Linked DNA regions of Oryctolagus cuniculus. The protein of the gene in region 2 purifies or fractionates together with the protein of the main gene of each other region. This does not show direct contact. Links are inferred from orthologs where the notes say so. Each region holds a gene or a part of one and is shown on either strand. Other genes may lie near its edges.

The links. Proteins that work in one complex are often made in the same cells at the same time.
Region 1: the proteins of PSMG1 (region 2) and PSMA7 purify together in Homo sapiens (affinity purification with mass spectrometry; 3 studies listed by BioGRID and IntAct, with this or other methods). This does not show direct contact. The link is inferred for Oryctolagus cuniculus from reciprocal best matches to the Homo sapiens genes PSMG1 and PSMA7.

The regions. Positions count from the first base shown.
Region 1 is NC_091442.1:1,220,244-1,226,455, reverse strand, and holds the start of PSMA7 (proteasome subunit alpha type-7), read right to left. Parts: upstream 4,570-6,212; 5' UTR 4,454-4,569; coding exon 4,358-4,453; intron 2,624-4,357; coding exon 2,497-2,623; intron 2,083-2,496; coding exon 1,958-2,082; intron 1,582-1,957; coding exon 1,459-1,581; intron 1,017-1,458; coding exon 897-1,016; coding exon of another isoform or gene 870-896; intron 269-869; coding exon 138-268; intron 1-137. Other genes in the region: SS18L1 (calcium-responsive transactivator), read left to right, coding at 4,915-4,983.
Region 2 is NC_091435.1:5,948,194-5,955,108, reverse strand, and holds the start of PSMG1 (proteasome assembly chaperone 1), read right to left. Parts: upstream 4,354-6,915; coding exon 4,217-4,353; intron 1,727-4,216; coding exon 1,620-1,726; intron 177-1,619; coding exon 25-176; intron 1-24. UniProt on the Homo sapiens protein: Chaperone protein which promotes assembly of the 20S proteasome as part of a heterodimer with PSMG2.

The sequences.
Region 1 (6,212 bases), on a different chromosome or scaffold from region 2:
GGTTCCTGCCACGTGTGTAGTGTGCCCAGGGGCATGCCCAGGCCAGGGGACCCTGGGGGAGCCCCCTCCCAGTGCTGAGACCACACAGGACAGAGGACTGTGGGACAGACCCTCTCGCAGTGCGAGGCCCGCCCCACAGCAGCCTGTCTGAGCCCGGCGCCCAGCCCTGACCCCGAGAAGCTCCGCAGGACACAGCTGGCATTACCTTGAGGGGCTGATCCCGCCTCATGACCGCGAGTTCGATGTTTTTGCCACCAGACTGAACCACCTTGAGGGGAGACGACAGGACATGAGATCCCTCGCCCCACAGAGGGCCCAGACAGCGCCCGTGAGTCCCTCATGGCGCCGCCCCTCCACTTAGCAACCCCCGCCTCGCCAGGCAGGTGTGGACAGAGCTGGACCCTCGCCCCGCCAGGCACTGCTGTCAGTGTGGTTAGCTCCCCCCCTCGCAGCTCAGGCCTGGAAGGCCAAGTTCGGGCCATGCGCAGAACACACTCCCCGCCGAGGGGTGGGGTCACATCCCACCTGCGCCACTCGTAGAAAGCAGGGGCCGCGCTGTGGCACGGCGGGCTAGGCCTCCCCCTGCAGTGCCGGCTCCCGTACGGGCTCCAGCTCCCATCCAGCTTCCTGCTGAGGGCCTGGGAGAGTGGAGGATGCCCGCGTCCTTGGGCCCCACACCACGTGGGAGACCTGGACAAGGCTCCTGGTTCCTGGCTTCCGGTCAGCTCCCCTCCAGCCACTGCGGCCGTTTAGGGAGTGGCCCAGGGGATGAAGATCGCTCACTGCCTCTCAAAGCTTAGCAAGGATATGCCCAGAGCTCCGTGGGACCGGGACACTGCCCTGCCCACGCCCACGCGGCCGGCGTCCACCGTGTTTCCCGGACCCCGAGCACTTACTTCCAGGAGGGCCTTGATCACCAGCTTGATGGCCAGGTCGTCGGTCTCGATGGCGTCATCGGTGTAGTTCTTCTCCAGGAACTCACGCACTGACTTGGCGCCCCGGCCGATGGCATTGGCCTGAAACGGATGTGCACCCGCGGTGGCCCAGGGGTCCAGCTGCCTGCTGCCCGTGTCCCCAGGGGGCCTGCTGTTTGCTCTGAGCAAGCTGTGGCAAGGGGCAGCCGCTCCAGGTGACCTGCGGAGCCCCGTGGGCAGCCATGCTGAGTGGCCAGCTGAGCCCCGTGGGCGGCCATGCCGAGTGGCCAGCTGAGCCCCGTGGGCGGCCATGCCGAGTGACCAGCTGAGCCCCGTGGGCAGCTTCCTTCTGCCGATTCTTAACTGATCCTAACGCCGCCCTGCACCCGCACCCTCACGGTCCTGCAGGACAATCTGGTGCTCACGGCCCCCTGGCTCCCACACAGCCACCGTCAAGGCAGCGTGTACATCTGGGACGCGGTGACCTCAAACGCTGACGTGAGGAGTGGACGCTGCCGAAGCCGCTGCACCCTGCGGGACTCACCTTCCAGGCGTGGTACGTGCCCGAGGGGTCAGTCTGGTAGAGTCTGGGGGTGCCATCGAAGTCAAAGCCCACGATGAGGGCAGAGATGCCGAATGGCCTGCGACCGTTGCTCTGTGTGTAGCGCTGGAGCGGCACAAACAGGTCGGGGCTCGGACCAGGGAGACCGCGCAGGACGCCCGCGAGCCGAGCCCCAGCCAGGGGCGCTCTGCAGGCACCGAGACCCCCCACGCCTCCGGCCCGTTCTGCACCTGCACGCCCAGGCCCAGGCACTGCGCAGCACGCACTGAGCGCCTGGGAACTTCCTGCCAGGCAGCCGTCCAGCTGGCCACACGCTGGCTCGGAAGACGAATGGCGTCGCGCCACAGTGGTTCTCGGCTCCCTCCCACCCGCCTGGCAACGCCGCTAAGGACAGAGCCGGGCCTCGCTCCTCCCTCCAGCGCGCGCTGAGAGCCAAGGGGAAGCGGTGGACAGCAGGACGCAGCTGACCCCGGGCGCCCACCTGCTTCAGACTGGCGATGTAGCGGGTGATGTACTCCACAGTGACCGGGTCCTCCACGGTCAGCCGGTGGCTCTGGCACTCTACCCGGGCCCGATTGATGACGATGCGCGCGTCCGCAGTGAGGCCTGCAAAGGAGCGGGAGACTCCGAGCAAGGACGGCGTTGACCCTGGCTACTCCGCAGCCTGACCTCTGGGCACGGTCCCCCCTCGCCCTTAGCGGCCAGAGCGGGACCAGCAGCCTCCGGGGCTCTTCTGAGAACCAGGTCAGGGAGCCGCCCCGCGCCCTGGGGGAGCGCAGGGGCCGAGTGCGTGCCTCCCCGTCACGGGGCAGGTGTACTGCTGCTGGCCACGGGCAGCCCTGTCTGCCCTCTGCATGCCACAGGTCAGGCGGGGCTCGTGTTTGGGGGACAGAAAAACCCCCAAGTTAACTCCTGAAGTCCGAATCCACTGACGTCTGGCAACAGCCCGGGGCCCCGCGTCCCTCTGCACAGCCAGGTTCCACCGGGACCCTGAGTGCGGCCCTGGCCCCGGTCGCGCACCTGCGAACGCCATGCAGACGTTGTCGTCCAACGCGCAGATCTTGCGCACGGTCCTTTCATCCTGCAGCTTGGCCACCGACTTCTTCTCCACGCCAAGGACGACGATGTCTCTCCCCCGGACGCCAACCTCCAATGAAAACCACGGCCCGCATGAGAAACTGCGGAGGCGGGGCGCCAGGAGCACACGGCAACACGGTCCTGGGGCGTGGCCGGCAGCCGCCACGCGGAGCTGTGCTCACCCGCGCAGCCCACAGCTCACAGCCCGACAGCCCGGGCCCGGCACTGCGGGTAGGGACCTGCCGTGTGGGCCGGAGTCTGAACAGGGGCGCCGGCCGCAGGCGAGCTGTGAAGCCACCTCCCGGCACGAGGGAGGGGCCGCCTGCTGTCAGCCGTCGCCGGACACCGCCCGCCAAGGCAACCACGGGTGGGATTCAAAATCCGATAAATCACGGCAGGCTAATTATGAAGTGGACAATTCCGTACGACCGCAAACGGCCCGGCAGAGACAGGTTCCCCACCCCTGCTCAGAGGGCTGGGCTGGCAAGGCTGCAGACCATGGACCCACGCAGGGTCCCGGCTCCGGCCTAGACTGGCACCCACTGTCGCGGGCCCAAGGGGCGTGAGCAGTATGAAGGCCTCCCCGTCTCCTAACCAGGCGTGGGAGCCGCTTCGGCATGGGACGCCGAGCCCCCATCAGAGTCGGGGCGCAGCTCCCACCCCCCTCCTGGGAGACCCGGACTAAGCTCCTGGCTGGTGGCGGTCAGGGGCCTCTGGGGAGTCAGCCGGCGGGTGGGGGCTCTGCCTCTCACACACACCGGAACCTCAGGAATCGGCCATCCCACACGTCAATCAAACAGCCTAGAAACCAACCGCAGCAATCGGTGGGCGCCGCGCGTGCCCGCCCTCCAGCACAGGGCCTTTCAGCCCCGCCGGCCAGTGCCGACCTGGGCAGCCGCCCCCGCCCACGGCATGCCAGCAGCAGTCTCGCTCCACACGGCAGTGCCCGCGGGCCGAGGGGCACTGGCCCGGTTTCCAGGGAGGTCCCGGGTGCCGACTCGGCCAGACGCTCCGGGAGCCGCAGCTGTGCGTCCGCCCGAGCGAGCGTGGGTGGGGAGGAGGTCAGAGTTGGACTTGGGACCCTAATTGCAGGCGGTCACACGAGCCAGGAAGTGGCGACCTCAGAATCCGCGTCGTGGCCCTGAACGTCTAGGATTCTAAGGGACAAAAACGTCGCGCGCCACGGCGCTGTCTGCGAGGGGGCAGACGCTGCCCAGGCACCGCACCCCCGGGGGCCTGGCCCGGGGCCCCCCAGCCTCCTGTGAGAAACACCACCCCTCCTCCACATGCGCGCGCGCTCCCGAGGTGCGCCCAGGTGCTGCTGGTGGGAACGAGACAGGCGCCTGAGCCCCGAGCTCAACGTGCCCACCTGGGCAGGCAGTGGCCTGGCATCACTCCGGGAGCCGCCAGGACAGTCCCCGTGCGTCCGGCTGGCCCGCCGCCGGCAGGTGCAGGGCACGGCCCGCTCCCGTACCGGAAAGCACGCACCCAGAGGCACCCCGGGCTACTGGCCTGGCCCCTCACCCGCGGCCTCCGACGCCATGCGCGCCCCAGCGCCGCCATCGGCCCCGCCCGGGCTGCGGCTCCCTTCTCTGCGCCACGGAGCCGGCGCCCCGCGGGTTCCCAGCGGCCCGCTGGCCACACGCACGGCCGAAGGGACGCCGCGCCGCCGTCCCGGGAGCAGCGGTCCGCAGCCCGCGCCCCCGGCCGAGCCCAGGCCCGCCGCCCGCCGCCGCGCCCGGGCCCCCGGCGGCGCCCCTGGCCCGGGCCCCCAGCGCGCGCAGGCCCCGGCGCGGCGGCTCACCGCGGTCGAGCCCTTCTTAACGGCCTCCTGCGCGTACTCCACTTGGAACAGGTGGCCGTCGGGCGAGAAGACGGTGATGGCGCGGTCGTAGCTCATGCCGGCGGCCGCGGCGCGGGCCCAGGGCCACCCTCTCCGCCGCTCTCAAAAGCGCACACTCACGGCCGGCGCGCGCGCCCTGCGCCGCGCCCACGCTGCGCGTCGGTGACGTCACGGCGTCGGGCGGACGTGCGGGCGCGCGGCGGGGCGGGGCGGGGCCGGGCCTAACCACGGGCGGCGGGGCGGGGGGGGCGGCGCGGGGCGCGGCGGAGCGGGCGCGGGGCGCCGGCCGGCCGCCGGGGGGCGCCACGCGAGGCGCGGCCTCGGAGGGGGCGGCGGCGGCGGGAGGCGGCGCGGCGGGCGCGGCGGCGCGCGCGGGGCGGCGGGGCGGGCGAGCCCACGGCGCGGCGTCCCCCGCGCCTCCCGCCCCCCGGCGACTGCGGAGAATGAGCTCTTCGGGCGGCCGAGCGCAGCCGGGGAATAAGCCCTGATGGTCACGGGCTGAGCCCCGCGTCGCCGCAATGTCCGTGGCCTTCGCGTCCGCCCGGCCGAGGGGCAAAGGGGAGGTCACGCAGCAGACCATTCAGAAGGTGCGTGGGGCCGGGGCGCGAGGCGCGGGCACGCGCGGGCTGGGGCGCGGGCAGCCGGCGGGCGCGGGGCGCGAACAAAGCCGGGGCGCAGCCGAGCGGCCCCGCGCCCGCCGTCCGCAGCGGCGCTCCCCGGGGGGCCCACGCCCACTCTGCCGGAGGCGCGCGGAGACCCGCGGGCGCGGGCGAGGGCGCGTGGCGTCGGCCGCCTGGGAGGAGAGGGCGGCGGCGGCGCCCGTGTCGGGGGTCCGGGTCCCGAGCGCCGCTGGCCACGCGCGAGGGAGTGCGGGCCGGCCTCGGGGACGCCCCTCGGCGAGGCGCGAGCCCCCAGGGCACAAAGGACGCGGCGCGGGCTTGGGCGCCCCGCAGCGCACGCGGGTGCCCCGCGCCCGGGAACCCGGCTGTGCTGTGCAGCCCCGCGCCTCGGCGTGAGTCGGGCCGCGCGGGTGCGGGGGAGCGGGCACGTTCCGTTCTCGGCTTCCCCGCCCGACAGATAAGGAAGGAAGCTGGCGTTCGCCGCGCCCCTCTGCACGCGCCCGGCGCCTCGCGCGGCTGCGTGTGTTCCTCTGCTGGACTCTGTGGGTTCGCCGGGAGGGGTGCGCCCGCCTCTGGGGACGTGGTCCTCGGGCTGTCACCAAGATGGAGACCGATCTTGTCGCCACGGGATTGTCACGAGTGGGGGGCCTTGGGCAGCGCCGAGCCGGGGATGGTGACGGACGGGAGCCTCCGAGGGTGTGGAGTCGCAGGTGCTGTTTGAGAGCCTTGCGAATCTTTTAATGTGCGCTTTCTCTTTGAGATTTATTTGACACACAGAGTTGGAGAGGTAGGGAGAGGTCTTCCATCCGCTGGTTCAGTCCCCAGATGGCCGAAACGGCCGGAGCTGCGCCCAAAGCCGGGAGCCTGGGGCTTTATCTGAGTCGGCTCCCCGGGTGCAGGGCCCAAGGACGTGGGCGTTGTTCCGTTGCTGTCCCAGCAGAGTTAGATCAGAAGTGCAGCAGCCAGGACTGGCACTGGCGCTCCTGTGGGACCCGGCACTGCAGGCCGGGGCTTAACCCGCGGCACCAGAGCACCCGCCGCCGGGCGGGGGAGATTCTCCATCCGGCGAGCCTGCGACAGCCAGGGCTGGGCCAGGTGGGCACCGGGAGCCTGCAGCTCCGTCCAGGCCTCCAAGCCCCGGGGCCACCCTTCACGGCCCCTCCACCGTGTGCCAGTAGCACACAGCTGACAGCAAC
Region 2 (6,915 bases):
ACACCCAAGGCAAGTCCCACATACCGAGTGATGAGCTTTCAGTTGATAAAACACACAAAAAGCCTCCGAGGGGGACAAGAGGGTCGAGTCTGCTGTTCTACACCATTCATTCCAGAGTTTAGCACAACCGATTTCTTCCCAGACTCCTGAATTCATAACAAATGATGACAGAAACGCTGTGGAAAGCAATTCACAGAAGTTAGTGGTGGGCTCTGTAAGCTGCATTTTATAGTCAATATTCAAGAGGAAAGGGCCACTGAATAGCGTCTACCCAATGTCACCACTCTGTAGGAAAGAAGATCAAGCCCTCGGGAACTCAAAGGCCACCCCTGAGTAGGACAGCGAGTCTGTACGATACTCACGGGGAACACTCCCCTGGAAAAATCCTAGACCAGCAGAACTTTACATAAATGACAACAGTTATCTACCCGAGTTACTACGTTCTTGTTTTCTAAGATTTACTTATTCATTTCTGTTTGCTAGTTTATTTGAAAGGCAGTCCAACAGAGAGAGAAAAAGAGAGAGAGAGAGACAGAGACAGAGAGAGAAAGATGTTCTATCCACAAATTTACTCCCCAGATGGCCACAATAGCTAGGGCTGAGCCCGGGCAAGCCAAGAGCCAGGAACTCTGTCCCAAGTGGTAGGAGCCCAAGGACTTGCACCATCTTCCACTGCCTTTGCAGGTCCATTAGCAGGGAGCTGAACTAGAAAGGGAGTAACCAGAACTCAAACCAGCACTTTGATACGGGACACTGGCGTCACAAGTGGCAGCTTGACCCACTGCGCCCCAGCGCCAGCAAGTCACTGTGTTCAGCCAGCACCGGGGTGCCTTTGAGGGGCAAGGATCCAACCAAAGCCCTGAAGGCTCCCCTCAGAGCGTGTGAGCCTCCTGAAACTACAGGGCCCTTCTGGGTACATCAACACTGCTCGTTTTAGTCCAACAAGTACATCAGGAAGTGCAAAGACCTTGGACTTGAGTGGTCAAAAATGCCAGCACTTGTTAGAGTTCTCATCGTGTTCTCAAAGGACTCTGTTAACTCACAAATATTTAAGTATGGGGCAGGCACTGTGGCAAAGCAGATGAAGTCGCCACTTGGAATGCTCATAGCCATATCGGAGTGCCTGGGTTCAAGTCCCATCTCTGCTTCCCATCCTACTAATGCACACCCTGGAAGGCAGAAGACAATGCCTCAAGCTTTTGGGTCTCTGCCGTCTACATGGGAGACGAGGACGGAGCTCCTGGCTTTGACCCGGTCCAGCCCCAGCTGCAGGCATTTGGGACGTGAAACAGCAAATGGAAGACCGATGTCTCTCTCTCTCTGTGCGTCTGTCTCTCTGGCACTTTACATTTAAAATAAAAAATAAAAATTTTTAAAAATTTACACAAACTTGGATAGTTCAACACACTAGAAACATTTCCTTGCGCCTTAAGTTCAATAACACTTCCTTTAAATTTTTTAGGTTTATTAGAAAGATGGTACATGAGCAGGATATAAGTTTTACTCAGAAATAACATTATGGCTTTTTTTTTAATTAACAAGCACTTGCAACCTTTCATAACAGAAGCAAACGAGCAGCTTCGGCTGTCGGGAGACTCAGCGGTCCCCGTTGCACTCACCTACTGCATTGCTGCCTATGGCAATGATAAACCTGGAGCAAGGATGCTTTTCCAGCAGGGAAAATTCCAAACACGTTTTCGTTTGTCTTCGAAGAAGCCGTACCTCCCTAACACAAGAAATAAGATGAAACTAAAACAACCTCAGCTTAATCAGAATACTGTGAACAAGAGCCCACTGCATGCTACGTTGCAATAGGTAAAACACACCTGTGAAGAACAACCCCAAGAAAACAATGGACTCAGGCAATGGTAACCAACAGAGAAAACCAGGACAAGCGCAGACCAGGCCACCGCCTGACCCTCTCATCAGCCTTTGCTCCCCAGCAGTGAGACCGCAGGTAGAACGAGCAACAGGAAACAGCACCACTGCAAAGCAGCCTTCAAACCAAATGCTGCCTGTGAATCTGGGGGCCGGAGTTGTGGCGAAGCTGCCGCCGGAATGCTGGCAGCCCACATGGGCCTCAGTCCACTCAGTCCATGTCCCAGCTGTTCTACTTCTGACCCAGCTCCCCACTAATGTGCCCGGGAAAAGCAGCAGACGATGGCCCAAGTGCCTGGGCCCCTGCCACCCACCTGAGAGACCCTGATGAGGCTCCTGGATTCAGCCTGGCTCAACCGTGGCCACTGTGGCCATCTGGGGACTGAACCAGCAGGTCGAAGATCTATCTCTTTTTCCTTCTGTCTCTGTAACACTGACTTGCAAAGAAACAAATAAATTTGGGGCCAGCGCTGTGGTGCAGTGGGTTAATGCCCTGGCCTGAAGCCCTGGCATCCCATATGGGCGCCGGTTCTAGTCCCGCTCTCTGCTGTGGCCTGGGAAAGCAGTAGAAGATGGCCCAAGTCCTTGGGCCCCTGCATCCACATGGGAGACCTGGAAGAAGCTCCTGGCTCCTGGCTTCAGATCGGCACAGCTCCAGCTGTTGTGGCCAACTGGGGAGTGAACCAGCAGATGGAAGACCTCTCTCCCTCCCTCCCCTCCTTCTCTCTCTCTCTGCCTCTCCTTCTCTCTCTGTGTAACTCTGACTCTCAAGTAAAAAATAAATAAATCTTTTAAAAAAAAGAAACAAATTTTTCGAAAGAAAAAGTGAATCTGACATTTCCAGGAAATGTTAATGTTAACTGACACCGTGTGGCGGCGCTCACAAATCCATACTGTGGGACGTTAGACAGGACAGCCAGGTTCTCAGCAGGGGAGAAAGCACACATCTGGGGAGAGGGCGAGCTCTACCTCAGATGAAATGTCTAAGCACAGTATGCTGGGGGCGGGTGGGTAGCAGTTAGAACACTGGCAGGTAAAGCCGCCACCTGGGACACCAACGCCCCATGTGGGCGCCAGTTTGTGTCCCAGCTGCTCCACTTCTTATGCAGCTCCTGTGTGGCGGCCTGGGTGCTTGGACCCCTGCCACCCATGTGAGACCCAGGTGAAGCCCCGAGCTTCCAGCCCCAGCCACTGTGGTCATCTGGGAAGTGCACCAGCTGATGGTAGTGCGCGCTCTCTCTCTCTCTTTCTCTCTCTACATAACTCTTTCAAATAGAAAATAAATCTTTAAAATAAATCTTTAAAATAAATCTTAAAAAAAAAAAAAAAAGCCTTAGTCCCAGTTGGACTCTGCTCCCAATTCCAGCTTCCTGTCAATGCAGGCCCTGGGCTGGCTCAAGTAACTGGGCACCTGTCACCCACCCGAGGGTCTCGGATTGAGTTCCTGGCTTGCAGCCCACCCCACTGTTCCACGCATTTGGGGAATGAACCAAGAGTTCCCACGGGTGCTCTCTTCGTCTCTCAAATAAGTGGTTATATAAACATCATGTGTGCACCTTTATCAGGATTCTGACTTGCACAACTCCCTGTATGCTTGAGGAAACTAGTAAATTTGACTGTGGGGCGGGGCTTAAGCGTCACTTGCGATGCTGGCACCCAGTGCCGAAGCACCCACTCAAGTCCCAGCTGCTCCACTGCGAACCCAGCTCCGTGATAATTCACCTCCGGAAGTGTAGTGGGGCCCCTGCCACCCACGTGGGAGACCCGGATGGAGCTCCTGGCCCAATCCCGGCTGTTGCGGCCAAGTGGGGAGTGACCCAATGGACGCGAGATTCTGTCTCTCCCTCCGTCACTCTGCGGGCGGACGGGTCCCGCACCTCCAGCCGCTGCGGACCCTGATGCGGACCGGGGGTCTCCTCCCCCGTCCCCGGACCTGGGCAGGCGCCTCTGGCACCTCCAGCCGCTGCGGACCCGTGGTCACTCTCCTCCCTCCCCCGGACCTGGGCGGGCACGTCCCGCACATCCAGCCGCTGCTGACCCTGATGCGGACCCGTGGTCACTCTCCTCCCTCCCCCGGACCTGGCGGGCGCGTCCCGCTCACCCAGCCGCTGCGGCCCCGGTCGGGGCCCGAGAAGCCCAGGACGGACGCGGGCAGGGCACGGAGGCCGCTCCGCACACCGGCAAGGACCAGCCTGAACGCACGCCTCCCTCCCCCGCTTCAGGCCCACGGCAGCGGGCGCCCGAGGCCTCCCGGGCCGCGCGCACCTGCCCGGCGGCGGGGCTGAGGCGCTTCCCCGGCAGCGCGGCCCCGGCTCCCGGCCTCCCCGCAGGGCCTCACCTCTTCCGCGCCAGCTGCAGCCGCACCTCCCGGTCCTCGGGCGTCTCCCTCCGGCCCTCCTCCTCCTCCTCCTCCTCCTCCTCGGTCCCCGCCCGACACGGCGCCCTCACCACCTCTCCGAAGAACGTGGCCGCCATGGTCTCCCGGGGCCGGTCGGGCACAACTGCGGCGGCGCGAGACGGCGCACGCGCCACGGCGCGGGGCCACGCCCCCAGGCGCACCCGCGCGCGGAGGGCCACGCCCCCTGGCGCCCCTCAGTGACGGGGCGGCCCCGGAAGTCCGGAGCCTGTTCTTCCGCCGCGTGAGGCGGGCGAGGACACCGAGACTGGAGGACTGTGGGCTAGAGGGGCGAGCACGTGACCCGGTGGGCGGGGCGCGCGGAGGCCGGGAGGCGTGTCCGGCCCGGGCAGGTGACGGACCTGGACCCAGGGCGCGGCGCTTAGCAGAGCGTGCGCCCCTCACGCGTTTCCTTTCCCTCGGGCCCCTTCTCGTTTTCCGTTGGGAGCGACAGGGCTGGACTTTGGTGTGTGCACACCTGCTCCGGACCTCGAGCGCGCCAGGTGGTGGCGGCCGCGGGGCCCGGGCGGGCGGGCGTGAGGAAGACGCCGCGGCGGGAAGCGAGGCCTCTGCCCAGCCCCGCAGCTGCCGGGAAGCTCGAGGACGCGCACGGAGGTTTGTTTCTTTAAGCTTGGCCACTCGCGATTGCACGGAACCCGTGGGGGCGGCCGGGGGCGGTGAGCGGGGCGCGCGAGCCCGGGGCCACCGAGCGCCTCAGCCGTGCTAGGAACGCCGTCCGGCCAGAGGCGGGAGAACCTGCTACTCAGCCATCGTACTCAGAGCTGGGGGTTCGCGGCAGAATGAGACGTCCGGGGGCAAAAGCTGCGCCCGTGGGCGCGGGACTCCAGCGTGAGCGGGGCGCCCCGGACAGGCATCGCCGGCCCCCGGCCCCGCCTGGGGCCCACCACCTCACCCCTGCACTGCCCACTGCCCTGTTAAGCAGGGTGACGTCAGCGGTGGCCACCGCCGGACTGCCCGTCCCGGAGAGAACAGCTTGACAAGAATGCGGACTTCCTGAAACACACTTACTTCATGCACTTAACGTGTATTCAGGCCAAGCGGCTTTTGTTTAAAGGCGAATCTGTGTTCAAATTAAATACTAAACCAGCAAGGAGGATTCTGTTATGAAAGGCCCGTACAGTCTCAAATACTGACAGGAATTAACCCCGCCAGCTATTGACTCAAAGCTTAAGTTTTCATTACACCGAAATTATTAAAAAAAAAATTGTACGTAAAAGCCTTCACTGAGACTTAAATATGTGATGGTATTTCTTGAGGCTATAATACGCCCTGTAAGAAACTGCAGTGAACGAGTGTAAGTTTGGGACTGGAAATGCATTTCCGCGTTTCATTAGCGCTCAGAAAGCAAACCCCATGCACCTGAAAATGGCAGCAGTTTATTAGGAACGCCTCCTTGTCCCGCCTGTGCTAGCAACAGGATGCTGGGGATCAGTATTTCAGATTAAAGTGAACCGCATGAAAGAGCAAAGGACACACACTGTCGCTTAGAATATTCTGACTTGTACTTTTTAAAAAAATAGCCTTTTTTTTTAAAACAAACATGCAACCACAAATTTCTCAAATAATCTGAACACTTGGTCCATCCACCTGGTAACCAAAAAATATGCATTAGTCTTAAAAATAAACTCCTAGATTTCTGTATTTTACTTTTTCAGGTTTAGGTTTACACATGCAAATCATAGATTCACAGATTTTTTTTTCCAACGGGAAAACAACTTGCTTAGGACTATTTAACATCTTTCTATTAAGATTTGACAGTACATTCATTTAATCTGGTGATCTTAATTTCAACAAATGTCTGTTAACAACAAATTAAACCTCATTGCAAGTAAATTCTTTGTAGTGCCATGGCCAGCTTTTCTAATCCTATCAAAGACCACAACAAAACAGGCCAGACATGCTGCTATAAAGTGTGTGATGAGATTGTAGTAAATTTGCTCAGTGTTCAAGTTCTTTTAATGTGATGTAATAAGCATGAAAGATTTCACTCTGTCATCTAAAGAGATGTTCTGATTAAAACTAAGACTTGCCTCTTAATGAGGTACATTTTGGCATTTCTGTAAATGCTACTACGTGAAAAGTAGAAATGAGCAAAAGCTATGAGAATCATATTCCTAACTTTCATAGAAAAATATATATTCCCTGAATTAATCATATCAAGTGGTCACTGTTAGGTATGAATTCCAGTACTATAAACAAAATAAGACAATGGGTTTTCTCTTATTTTCGACGCTCAGAACTCAGCGATCGACATCCCCAGCACTGAAGCCCTGGGCCTTCAGGTTGTTGACCTTTGGGAAAGTGAATTAAAAAGCATGGATATCTCAGTGTTAAGTCTTGCTTCACTCAGAAGTCAAAAATCACCTCCTTGGCAGGTCCTTTGAAACTGTGCCTCTTCTCTGTGGCTTCATTAATGTCACCTGCTCATGGTGGTCTCAGTTTTTATATCCTAATAGTGAACCCTTGACATAAGGTTGAGATCTTGAAATTAAAACTTTCCCCACATAACCTGCTACACCTCCCTTTACATTCTTCCTCTAAGGAATCAGATTTCTCTGTGGCCCTGTGTCCTGCAAAGGTATAGCGATCCTAGGGCAGCGCTTGCAACTCTCCTTCCCCCT